Linked DNA regions of Styela clava. The protein of the gene in region 1 purifies or fractionates together with the protein of each later gene. This does not show direct contact. Links are inferred from orthologs where the notes say so. Each region holds a gene or a part of one and is shown in the gene's direction. Other genes may lie near its edges.

Region 1 (7,293 bases):
GTGCTCATCGTTACTCACGTTTGATTCGAGATTACTATTAGGATTACTAAAATGAAAGAATACTATTCTAAAATAACATAAAATATGTGATAAACTGCCAACTATAAATAAATTGGTGTCGTATTTTTGCGATCTTGGTATTTGTCAAACTTGATTTGTTCTTTCGCACTTGAGATTATTTTTAAGCAAGATATCGCTGTTTAAAAAATCACAATGTCTGGGGAAAATACGAACAATTGAAAATTATTTTATTGCATTCAGCTCCGTCGGTAGTTTCAGAATGAAAAAAGGTACATCGCGGATCGCGCGCACCATTGATTGCGTGCGGCTGCGTCGGTAGTTTCAGAATGAAAAAAAAGGTAAATCGCGCGCACAATTGCTGTGTTTCGATTTCGCAGCTACTACGATGAAAACCTAACATAACACCAAATTTTGTGATTTACAATGTCTATAGAAGCGTTTTCAATCTGAGGTGAGTCTGCTGAAACCAAAGTGTGATCTTCCATTTTAAGTTTCAGTTTAAATATTTTAGAATGCCGCTTTTCAATCAAGAAATTTGAGTTGTGGATTTACCTTTTTATTGATTATTATTTTTAGCATTTCGTCGCCGATGACTATAATATGGTAACATGTTTTTCACATTGAACTCATAATTCCCCACGAGAACAAAAAAGGAATTAACGTCGTCATTGTGTAACAATACATGTATATGCCGAGGGAAATTTTTGATTTAGGGAGAATAAACAGCGGCGTAAAGATGTTTAAAACACGCCATGCTGACGGAAAAAATCGGCGATTGTAACAAAATGAAATAGCGCACGTTACTAACGGCCTTTTAATTAAGTCTTCCAAAAATGTCAAAAAAGAAAAGATTCAGCATTTAGAATAAATAAAGTACTTTTAACTTGCTCGGGAATAATAATCTGAAAGTAACAATTTTAAAATTTATTTTGGGGCTCCGCGAATAATATTCAACCTTTCAAGGGCTCCGCAACACCAAAAGTTTGAGAACCCCTGACCTAATATATATATCACAAATTTAATCATCGTAGAAGATAATCATGATGAGCACATGAGAGAAATGAATGGACTTCATAACGAAAGAGTTTCGGATATGGGTGAATATATGATGAATTATCTTCAAAAAATTACAAAATATTTACGACATATTTGCATTCCTCAACTTTTACTTTCTTACTTATCGATTTTAATCGGTAAGTATGTTGATAGGTATTTGTCTGTTTATCTGTCTGTCTGTTAGATGCACGCGATATCTCACGAAAGTGAGATTGGATCTGCTGCAGATTTTGCATGTGCATTCATCATATTTCGTACCAGTAGCCTATTGATTTTGGGCGAATTATGTCGTATAATAGCGAGTTATTAATTAATTAGTGATGGGACACAAGGTGTCACTATGGAGTAAGAGCGCTGTTTTGGGGGATCTCCTAACTTTCGATCGATAAGTCTTCGGTCTCTGACCGATATTCTCGTTTGTGTTTTATAGATAATTTCCTTGGCGGTGGACATGACGTACATATGACCGACTATAAAAATTACATCGCGAGTTTTGTTTGTCCACCGGGTGGAATATCTGACAAAGGTATGAATAATAGAATTATTTTACCATGAATGATGCTTATTTTGTTAAGTTTGCCTGTTTCGTTTTACAGAACACCAAATGATTTGAGGATTTTTTCCAAGCCCAAATCCAACTTTGTCACAAATTGCTGCATACCTTAATGTTCTTCATCAACTCGGAATTTCCGTCAACTTCCATGCTTCTACATGTTCAGACAGAGACTGGAGTCATGATCATTAAAAAATGTAAATCCCCCTAATTCAGTTATTATTAATATTCAAGATTATATTCTTAGTTGTGTTATAGTTCAAAAAGGTTCAACCAGAAAACATTGTGAATTGTGCCTGTATTGCTATGTACGCTATGTAATAAATAAAGAAAATGAATTGCATATTTTAATGTTGTTTAAGATTGTTGCCGTATGTCGATAAAGGTATCACAATTTATTGGATCATAAAAACAGAGGTAATTATTAATTTACACCAATATTTCCGCTGTCAACAAAGTAAAGAAGTCATGTAATCAAATGACTCCTTGCGTCCATGCGTTATCGTGTTTAGAAGCATGCTAGAGTCTTGAGGTATCTGGGTAAATTGAATAAAATCTACGTGTGTCCAAATAATTTTTTTTATTATCCACACCAAAGTTTAAAAAATGGCACCAACATATCGTTTTATAACAGATCAGTTCTTTGCATGCATTTACAACAATTCAAGTGTATAATACATAACATTACATTATATAATCTACAACATCCTTCATTTATTCATCCTTCATTAAATTGATAATGTTAAATTCGAAATGGTACAATGTTTGAATAGGACAAATTTGCAGTTTGTTTATTGCTCAATTTATTGTAATATACATCTACAACATACTGATATTCGTATTGAAATCCTCTCTATTGCATTTCACTGTTCCAACAAAGTTTTATCATATGTGGCGTTTGAGAAGTAGTGTTGTTGATCGGCCGTAGGCTATAGTATCTCCAAATGGAAATTTCAGAAATGCGTTTGAGAAGTAGTGTTGTTGATCGGCCGTAGGCTATGTATCTCCAAATGGAAATTTCAGAAATGCAATCTGACTCTATTGTGAAGACACAGTATGATGCTGTTGGAATTCCTGAATTCTACTCCTATCTCTCAGAGCATACAGCAACACCAGCATCATTGTCGCAAGTTCAACAATATCTGAAGAACACGACAGTTTGCTAGCATTTTAATGAAAAGTGTTGTCGACCAACAACTGTGTGATTTTCTCGTAAACACAGAAAACGTGATTGTACGACATTACTAAGAGATAAATATGATATTGAAATGATGGGGAATGTCCTGATACACATCGTCCTTCCAATACCGCCACAGATAAAAATCTGACATTTTCAAGTCCAATGGACCTTTCCCCGACCTTTGACCCTCAAAAAATTCTTCCTATACCTTACCATTGCAAAATTTTCGGGGCTTATTTTATATTTTATCATTATGATTCATCGCATACAACAATCTGTTTTTTAAAAATACCGGTAAACAATTTCAGCCTAGTCTATCACAGCTATTTCTATAATAATTTTTTATTACTGCAATTAAATTAAAACTCCTAGGAAGACAGAGTGATCATTGAAATATCTAATTTATATTCAAATTCCCGAAACACAACTGAAAACTAACGAATAGAGTTCAAAAACGCGAAAACGAGGTAATGTTTACGACCACGCCTGAAAATCTGTGTGAGTGAAAAAAGTGTCTGAGCGGATGCGAAAAGGTAGCATTGTTACGTCACTTTTTGAATCTTGCTGATTGGCCAATGTCACGAAGTAAACAAGGAAGTCAATGCTCGGGGAAAGGTCCATGAATGAGATGCTTCACCTTTTCTGAAATTGTTTACTTATCCAATCAAGGGCGTGATTTGATATGCCGATGGGGCCCTGTCTTGCTGGATACACGTCTGTCTCCTATATGCCTAAGGGGTGATTTCGAACATTTTCTAGATAGAACATTAATTTTGTGCAAAATGTCCAGGATTCCTGAACTTTTTGCGTTCTTTGTGTCCAATAAAAATCGAATGGCATAAAATAGAAAACTATCCAGTATCCACGAGCCATGGCGAAACCAAAGCGATCACCGTGGCGTAGATTCACTTTGGTCAAGCGGTCAAACGAAACGTAAATTTAACATTTACTGATGCGTAACAAGTAACTAGCACGTGTGTGTCGAGCGAGTCGATGACGGCCCTAAAGTATATTCCAGTTCTCGAACAGCGACGTTCGGCGCTGGTTAACGCAATGTGAGATCGGCTTAATTTGTTATTGACGTTATACACATGGAGTTGCCGTATGACCTCCATTATAGTACATCGTGGCGATGGTTATATATATTTTGTGATGGGTCTTAGAAATAGTTCAGAGGGTTTTTTGTGCTTGACCTTACACTTTCAGACTTCACAGCCTTCTGGCCTCAAGAATTTTTGTTTTGTCGATCGGTGGTGGAAAACACATGTCTAGTGAGAATGTTTAAACGTTGCAATTTTAATCTTGTGATATAGAAGTGAGGATGTTGTATATAATAGGAAAAATTCTTTGATATCTCAGAACTCTTTTTTCATATTTAATTCTCAATTTATAATATTTTAAATATGGCAGTACTGTACATCTGCTTCAGTAGGCTACTTCATACTTAAACCGAAACTGTGGTTTTGGCCCAGCCAAATTCAATGATTCAAAATATTGGATCTTACTGCAGTCTGCAGTACTGTGTCAATTCTGAATTTGATGGATTGCATTAACCAGCTAATACCAAGAACTTGAGGAAACTCCAAAATTCCTATTAGGCTATCAGAGGAAAAGGAAATAGATTTTCTTTAATTAATGAAGAATAATGAATTTCTTTAATTAATTTAATTTATTATACTGAATCTTCATAGACCATACCATGGAATTTTGAAATAATGGGACATAGTCTTAAGATTAGTAAGTAGACTATCTACAGATCTAAACTATTTTGGACTGTTAGAGTTCCATTTTCTAAGCTTCACATCACACTGTCACATGCTTTTAATTTTAAGGTAGCCAAGTTCAATTTATGAGTAACTCTGTTGTATGTTATTTGATTTGTCTCTCACCGTTTCATAAGTATAAAAGCTAAAAAGAAGAAAAATTTAAACACAATCCTTTGAAATTATATCCAACTCGAGTTGCAGCATAACATATAATATTATTATTTATTTAATATCTGCCTGAGGCTATTCTGCCCATGATTACATTGTCAGATCTATGTTTGTATTATTATACATGAATCAAATCAATTTGTTACATTTTCCAGTAATGGTATAAGATAACACAGTAGCAAAATGTTGGTGCTATTCGAATCACCAGCTGGCTATGCCGTATTCAAGGTTCTTGATGAATCAAAAGTCAGAGAGGCCGGAGACTTGCAATCGCTTTTCAGCACAGCAGAAAGTGCATCCAAAATGGTCAAATTGAAACATTTCAAAAAATTTGAAGATATGACTGAAGCCCTTTCAGCAACAACCGCAGCCGTGGAAGGAAAGTTATGCAAGCCTTTAAAAAAATTGCTCAAGAAAATAGTTGCAAATGAAGCACATGAAAAACTTGCGGTTGCTGATGCAAAACTTGGAAATGCAATCCAAGACAAGATGGATTTAATGTGCTTGTATAGTCCAGCTATACATGAGTTAATGAGAGGAATACGTGCTCACATGACCAGTCTTATAACTGGGCTGCCTGAGAGCGATGTGACAGCTATGGCACTTGGACTCGCTCATAGTCTTTCTCGATACAAATTGAAATTTAGCCCTGACAAAGTTGACACAATGATCGTCCAAGCTATATCGTTACTTGATGACCTGGATAAAGAATTGAATAATTATATAATGAGATGTAGGGAATGGTATGGTTGGCATTTTCCAGAACTTGGTAAAGTTGTTACAGACAATCTTGCTTTTGCAAAGACCGTAAAGAAAATGGGAATCCGAACAGAAGCAATAAATTGTGATTTGTCAGATATTCTTCCAGAAGAAATAGAAGAGCAAGTGAAAGAATTGGCAGAAGTATCAATGGGTACTGAAATATCTGAAGAAGATATCAGCAGGATTACTTACTTATGTGAGCAAATCATCGAAATAACTGATTATAGAGCACAGCTCTATGACTATTTGAAAAATCGTATGACAGCAATTGCACCAAATGTCACAATACTTGTTGGTGAACTTGTAGGTGCAAGGTTGATTGCACACGCTGGTTCTCTTCTTAACCTTGCTAAACATCCAGCTTCAACAGTGCAAATTCTTGGAGCTGAAAAAGCACTTTTTCGTGCTTTAAAAACCAGAAAAGAAACGCCTAAATATGGATTGATTTATCATGCTTCACTTGTTGGACAATCCAATCCTAAACACAAGGGTAAAATCTCAAGAATGCTTGCTGCAAAAACAGCCCTTGCTGTTCGTTATGACGCTCTTGGAGAAGAGTCCTCAACTCAGTTGGGAGTGGAAAATCGTGCTCTATTAGAAATGAGATTGAAGGCATTGGAAGAAGGAACATCATTTAAAATTAGCGGAACTGGAAAAGCCAAAGCCCAGGCTGATAAATGGACAAATAAAAGCGAGGTTAAAATGTATGATGACGCCAGGGATTCAACTCTGCCAGGCCCTAAGAAAAGAAAACATGAAGAAGCCTTGATCGTGTCCGATGGTAAACTGACTGCGCCCTGTACTCCAACTGCTGAACCTGTTAAAAAGAAAACTAAAAAAGAGAAAAAGATCAAACTTGAAACACAGGAGTCTGACGATGATCTTAACACATCCAGTGCTACCAATGGAACGGAAGTTGTTAAAAAGAAATCTAAAAAAGATAAGAAAGTCAAGACCGAAGTACAGGAGTCGTCACCAAAAAAGATCAAGACTGAAGTACAGTCTCCACAGGTGGAAGGCAAACCGAAAAAGAAGAAGAAAAAGTCAAAAAAGGAGAGTGAATGATTTCATAAGAACATTAACGTGTTTTAATTTTTTTTTCAAATCTTTCATTTGAGGTGATTTTTTGAGACTTTCGCTTCAGTGCTTCATCATGTATGCACTGTAGTGTGCTTCTGTACCATTTTAATATCACTGCCAAATATTAATAGATTTCAACCATGGAAGATGTCGGAAGGATTTGATTGTAACAAGTGATGGGATCCGGGGGTTTGCGCGAATCTATTTATTTTCTGAATGAGAGAACCTGTTGTTAGTAAGTTTAATCCAAAAGAGAACCCATTCTTAGAATTTTGAATTCCATCACCATTTGTAACCAACCTAACCTTGTAGCAGACCTGGGAAGTAATTTTGATAGAATTTCCCAAACAAGCCTTCAATAATTTCTTTCTTACCACTATGTCGTACTCCTATTATTGGAGCTGCACATACTTTGCGGTAGCTAAGAATCTGAATAATCGGACTGTTTTTGTGAAATGAGAAACACAAAGCAGACCATACTTTTTCATACTCAGAACAAGGTCCTGTACAAGCACCCATTGACATGTAAATAGCTATATTTGGGATGACCAGAATTTATTATACTCCTGGGTAATGTGGTTGGAATTGGATTTAATCATGAGATTGTAAAAAGCTGTGAAGCCCACATAAGTCAAGTCTACTAATTATAATACATTTATATCACAAGTTTCTAGGTCTCCTGACAGGGTGCCATGTTATATCGTTGC
Region 2 (6,925 bases), on another chromosome or scaffold:
ACTGTTATAAATTGATTTCGAAAGAAATATAAGCGATTGGGGAAGGGAATACGAGAGAGAAGTGCAGAAAACGAACTATTGCGTAATTGGGATGCCATTCCTAAAAATTTTCTGTGTCTCAAAAACTTTGCAACTGCATTACTCTCCATGTTTTCGTTAACATATGCTTGTGAATCTCTGTTCGCAGTTATGAAATTTATCAAGTCTCGTAAAAGGTGAAAGATGAATCAGTAGTTCATGTATTTTCTTACAAAATATAAACCCAATGTAACTATCAGCGGTAATACAGCAGCAGAAGTCTCACTGATATAGAATAAGAAAGTAATCAAATCTATTTGACGGGCTGACATTTTCCAGAATAGGAAATCTGTCTGTACATGTTTAAAAGGTTTATTATTGTGTATTTTTTCTTTGAAAGTTGCAAAGCATTGTTTTCAATTTTGGTCGGCACGCGGGAGAATTTTGTCGTTAAATTTAGCCAATTTTGGCACGCGAGCCGAAAAAGGTTGCCCACCCCTGACCTAGGGTGATCATACGTCCTCCTTTTGGAGGATTTGTCTAAAAGTATACTCAGTTACATATTTACTTACATACAATTATGTTTGCAAATAATACCGGGTGCGATTGTTTGTTCTAAAATTGACCTTCAAAATTCATCCAAATGATAAACGCTAGTTAGTAACGTATGCGCCATGATTGTAAAAGAAGCAATGATAACGAGGGAAGCATCGCAGACATGTTTTCAATAAGGTATAAAGCAATGATGTATGTAGATAATTTAATGAAACGTTTCAAATATTTGTGAAACTTTGTAACATTTTGAGTAGGCCCTAGTCGATTAAAATTGAGCGAAAGCTGCTACCAATATGAAATATAACGACTCTGGAGTGTCGCGGCTGGCTTTGGAAAGCTGTAAGGATAATAATAAACACTTTTGGTCGAGATAAAGGCGACGCCACTGTAGCGTGCGTTGCCTTGTGTTATCTATTAATTTTTTTTTTAAAAAGAATCAAGCCACTTTTTGTTAAATTGCTTCGATTCGAAATTCTAAAACTTACATCCCTAGATATGACAAGCAATGCATTGCGTTATGTTAACATGCGGGGTTACTCTAGGTTAAATGCATGCTTGATCTGCACAATCGTTTATGACGTAAAAATCGCATTTGTTGTGCAATTCTATTTTACGTCACTTCACTTTGTATGCCTAATCCCGTGAAGTTTCGATTGTGGCAGATCCTTGCGCCTGAAAACCCAGTAAATTATGCCAAAAAGGAAAACTTTTTTCACTCAGGAACTAAAGCAAAAGTACCCATGCTTTAGAAAAGGTCGAACTGACAGCGAAGCGAAGTGCATTTCTTGTGGTTACGGTACTTTCATTTCTGTGGCGAATAAAGGCAAACTCAGCTCACAGTTGCACGTTGAGAGTTCCAAGCAATTTAGCAGTTCACTCAGGAACTAAAGCAAAAGTACCCATGCTTTAGAAAAGGTCGAACTGACAGCGAAGCGGAGTGCATTTCTTGTGGTTACGGTACTTTCATTTCTGTGGCGAATAAAGGCAAACTCAGCTCACAGTTGCACGTTGAGAGTTCCAAGCAATTTAGCAGTTCACTCAGGAACTAAAGCAAAAGTACCCATGCTTTAGAAAAGGTCGAACTGACAGCGAAGCGGAGTGCATTTCTTGTGGCTACGGTACTTTCATTTCTGTGGCGAATAAAGGCAAACTCAGTTTACAGTTGCACGTTGAGAGTTCCAACCGACTACTTTTGTGAGCCTGGGACTCAAATCGAAGAAAATGTCGCAGTCGCCAACGCTACAATGGCGTTTCACTGTGTGAAACATCACCAGAGTTACAGATTTCGTCAGAGTACGTCAAATCTAATGAAGAAGATTTTTCCAGATTCAAATACCGGTATTTCAAAAAAATATTCTTGTGCTCGAACGAAAGTTGAAGCTATTGTGAATAAGTTTACAACAATTTGTAAACTGCTTGTCTGAGAAAGTCTGATTCTGGTCGGACGAAACGTTACAGAAATACATGTGTGTTAGTGTGCAGCTGGACTCTTTAATTGGATATAATAACTTTAGTTTACAATTTTAACGACATTTCTTGCATCCAGTTTTACGATATTGCAAAAAATAACCCAGCAATGTTGACGAGGATTAGAGGAACTTCCAAATACTCGTGGTCTAAGGAAAAATAAATCGATTATTCCGCAGATGTTTTTTTTAATAAAGACAAAAATGCATTAACTCATTGTCGTCACATCGTCTAATTTTTTTATCCTAGAGAATTTAGTAGATATATAATGTATATTTCGGACACGGTTCCATTACATTTGAACCCACGTACATTTGAACCCATGACAATTGCACCTGTATGCTATTGCACCTATGGAATTTTTTTTGTTTCACGGATAGTTAAACCCATACTAACCCTAACCCATGGGTTTTAGCACCCGCATATAGATTGAACCCGTGGATATACGCATGGGTTCAAACGTACATGGGTTCAAATGTACGGTCACCCTCGGACACAGGTGAGATGTGGTTCTACCGAACAATATGTCCTCCTTTCAGGGATTGGAAATATGGTCACCTTCAATTACCTCATCTTCTCCTCTGCATTAAGCTTCAGTTTGACGTGACAAAAAAATGGGAGAGTGGTGTTCAATGAGAAAGGGGAGAGTGGCGGGAGATCATCATGCTCCTAATATTGTCATACATTTCATTGATTCTAAATTTTTTTTCTCCTTAGACAGCAAAACTTGTTGCATTGTTTGAGGTGCTTTCACTCCAAGTATCAACGTCACACATTCCAATGAATATACAATCAAGGTTTCAGGAGGGTGCTTTTTGGCTTTTGCCAAATACAAAGCAATTGCAAAAGATGCATGTATGGCAGTATTCAATCTTGTCTCGAAGGTGGTGTAGGTTTCATGCGTATGTTCGTCGTTGGTTTCATGATACTGTTTGAAAAGGTTTTCATGCACAAAACACATTGAGGAATATGAAGACCATCCCAAATAAGATACGTGAATCTAATTAATCGTCCTAATGCTAATACTTTCTCTTTTTTGAGACATTCTGTTTTAACAATTTCAGTGTGTTGTATTTGTGACGAAATTTAATGTAGTGGAATAACAATGTAATCGACTCGATACGTATGAGTTTATTTTGACTTACTGAATTTCTGTGGGGTTAACTTTTAAAAATTCGTGTTTTGCCAACGAATTCCACTTTATGTGAGCGGTTAACGCCAAAAATCTTCAGGAATTACATAGAATCGATAGAATCAAATTCGCCACACAATATTTCGCGATAACCCACCTTCAAAGATAACCCTTATAACTCAGCCTCCTCCCCTCGGGATAAGTTCTATTCTATACTAACGCAAGGTGTTCGACGGAAGCCACAAAGGTTAGAAATAACCGTGTGTCATGTGTGGTGTATGTACCAAAATAAAACGCCCTACCTTCCGTCGGCGGAATTTATGTCCACTTCTTACTTTCAGCTTTTTAATATTGTTTTTGTTTTCGTCGGAGACGCTACTGCTCGCCTTTTTGTTCCACTCCATCCGTGCCTAAGCTGTTTTGTACTTTCCTCTATAATTTGGTATATTGGTAACAAAGCCCGTATAAAGTTATATAATACCGGCACCGACGCCCTTATCCGAGTGTGGGCATAAACGTGCCATCTTGCCGGTTACGGTTGATTTGATGTCGGAGTCAATAAATTCGAGAACACGCAGACACGTGCGCGAACGTGAATAACTGGGAGTCTGCAGGGACAAAATAAAAACGGGGTCATTCATCGGGATCAAGGGGCTTATAGTCACTTTGATCTGGATCAGGTAGTAGGCCAGTCTTGCTTTTACATTGTCATAATACTGCAATAGGCTGTATTTAATGTTGTGTGTCGACTGATTGAATACGTTAAATTCCGAGACTTACAGACTCGAGGCAGTAAGGTGTGATGCTTGAATATACCGTAATCGTAATGGGCTTTTTTAGAATGAAAAAGCTTAGTACGGTATTGTGCTGTTCATGTATTAGTCTTGTGTTTCAGCATCATGGGCATATTTTTGTAATTAAGACTTCAAAGTATCCCAACTAACGCGATCGATTTGTGGCGCTTGTAAATTTCAAAATTTGGTCACTAACCTACACCGAGCTACATAATTTCGATGTGTGTAGAGTGTAGTGATATCATTATGACTATCCAAGTAGAATGGAATTTAGTTAGGAGATCTCATTGAGCTTGGGAGATCTCATAATGGTAATCATTAGATGTAGCGAATTCTCATATAGAAGGAATTTCACATTATCCAGTTATCTATCTGTCTGTAGTGAGAAAATCGTTGGATTACTGGATTAGCGATTTCAGATATCATCACACGAAAATCAAGTTGATCGCAAACTGGCAAAATTATCATCAAACCCGTGCCCAAAACTGATGTCTTAAAGGCATTATTTATCTTTTTTTTTTTTGGATTATACAAAACTTTGAAAAAGCATTACTCAATAATTTGATTGTGCTTTTTGCTGACTTCACATATTTGTATAATAAAACAGGAGGGAAGGGTTCTATGTAAATTAAAATTTTATTTTTGTACTTCTATTCTGTTGATTGTGATGCCAGTTTATATGTAGAATTATTCCACACCCGGTAGAAAGAGTACCAAATGAGGCATGAGGTTTAAAATAAAATATGTCGTAATTATGGCCCTATTACTGCACCACATTTTGTTAAATTCTATTTTTCAAGTATTGGCTGTGCGTAAGCATGTAAATAACCTTTTCTAAATTAATTTAACTACTTTTGAATGATGATTATGGTCTTCATGCAATTTAGGTGAATGATTGTCCTCATCTCATTAAACATAACAAATGTTAAAAGTTGTTGAATGAATGTGATTTGGCTTGACTGAACTAAAGTGGAATTTGCATTTTTTGAATTTGTCCGAGCTGTGGCAAAAGATGATAACTGATCATTCATTTCAAGCACTGCTGAAGAATAGGCTGTACCTGCATTGCAGTTTTTTCTGAAAATGACTATATTTTGCTTTGCATCTGCAACAAAATTACTGGATGAACCTTAAACATTTAAACTGAAATTCTGACAGCAGGAATGGCCATAATCGATTATTTTACTACTTCAAATAGATTCTGAAAAAATATTTTTAAATATGAAATATCCAATACATTCTAAATTCTCTCATGTGGGAAATTACATAAATCACTATAAGTTCATGTTTATCACATCTAATACGATAGAAAAATAAAAGGTCATTTTTTTGTGTTTTTTTTTTACCAGTTTGATTATGGTATGTTTTGTTCAACTTGTCTGATGGTTCGAAATCCTTAATTTTCAAACAAAAATATTCTAATCTATAGATTTTAATAAATTTTGAATGTATTCGATTCATTTTGAACATCCCTGTCTGAAAGTGTGTGTGCCAATTAGTTTTGATTGACCAGTAGACAAAAGCTGTTCTGTAAAGAAAAGATGGGTAATTATTGTTTTTAGTAGCAAAATACCCAACGAAGGGTTCTGTCTGTTAAATTAGTGTTTATGTGAACATGGATAATATGATAGAGAGAACTTATCGAAGTTTAATTTCTTGTGATATTAAACAACTTTCCAATATTTGTTTTATTACAGTTTTTATCTACTTTGATCCACAGTAGCCAGAAACAGGATATGGAATATCAATGGAATGGTAATGGCCAGGGAATGCATGGTTGCAATTCAGCAGGTTATTGGCAACCAAGACCAATGTTTCAATATCAACCAACACGTCATTTTCCTCCCCCTCAACAAATTTGGAATGGCTTTCAAGGAAATCCATGGGAACAACCATATAGACAATTTAATCCGGGACCAATACATCATGTCAGACATCAATTTCCTAATAATCATAAAAATAATAAGAAAACTAAATCCAGGGGACAAAAAGAACAAGTATTTATAGACTTTTGTGATGTTTGTGACAGAGGCTTCAAAACTGAAGCAAAAAAAAATGAACATTTCAGTCAACATATCAAATGTGACGAGCCACGTTGCAAATTTGAAGCACATTTTAAAATTGTTTCCATTCATAAACAAAATGCACATGGGCCTAATGCTCATAAAATAAAGTTGGATACACCTGAGGAAATAGCAAGATGGAGAATGGAACGTAGAAAAAATTATCCGACAGCGGCAAATGCAGAACTCAAGTTAAAGAAGTCACAAGAACGGCTAATAAATGGGAATGTTCTGAATAACAAAGAATTTGGTAAAATGCGGAAAAGAAAAGGGTGCAACAAATCTTCGGTAGATAAGAATTCCAACTCAACCGAAGCTTTTCAACCTGGTAAAGTTGCAAAAACAGAAGATAATGATAAAAGAAAACATACTAATCTTCTGATAAGCAATGGTTCAGATGATTTGAGTGATTCTGATTCTCTCAATGAATCCATGGATACAGAAATGGTCAGTGATTCCAATAGGAAGGCAAATCTTTCAGTTGGCCTTGGATCATTGATGCAAAGTTACGCCAGTGATTCTGATGAGGAAAAACCTGATAGCAAGATTTCAGTGGGGAATGTTGATATGAAAACTGTTTTTCCTAAAAATGAACTTCCAGATGCATCCTTCCAGTCAGAGAATAATATACAATCAAACGAATCGACCAAGAAGGGTAAAGTCTCGTCACCTGGTGCAGTCCAAAAGGAAAATAGAGAATATCAATCGCCGAGAAGGAATAGATCGAATGGACAAAATTTCGTGAGAAAAAATATGCCTAAAAACAAAAGAAAAGATTTGTTAGAAATGTTGCTTGCTCCTGATATTAGAAGAGAAAGAAACCATATTTTACAGTGCGTTAGATTTATTGTACAAAATAACTTTTTTGAAAATGATTACCATTCCATCGAAAATTA

The links. The genes of interacting proteins can lie anywhere in the genome.
Region 2: the proteins of nucleolar protein 58-like (region 1) and FMR1-interacting protein NUFIP1-like purify together in Homo sapiens (co-immunoprecipitation; 3 studies listed by BioGRID and IntAct, with this or other methods). This does not show direct contact. The link is inferred for Styela clava from reciprocal best matches to the Homo sapiens genes NOP58 and NUFIP1.

Annotation. Positions count from the first base shown.
Region 1 is NC_135257.1:6,828,847-6,836,139, forward strand, and holds nucleolar protein 58-like, read left to right. Parts: upstream 1-4,874; 5' UTR 4,875-4,927; coding exon 4,928-6,571; 3' UTR 6,572-6,732; downstream 6,733-7,293. Other genes in the region: uncharacterized protein LOC120346509, read left to right, coding at 1,053-1,118, 1,508-1,603, 1,674-1,690. UniProt on the Homo sapiens protein: Required for the biogenesis of box C/D snoRNAs such as U3, U8 and U14 snoRNAs. Part of the small subunit (SSU) processome, first precursor of the small eukaryotic ribosomal subunit.
Region 2 is NC_135262.1:18,619,736-18,626,660, reverse strand, and holds the start of FMR1-interacting protein NUFIP1-like, read left to right. Parts: upstream 1-3,831; 5' UTR 3,832-3,852; intron 3,853-5,663; 5' UTR 5,664-5,702; coding exon 5,703-6,925. UniProt on the Homo sapiens protein: Binds RNA.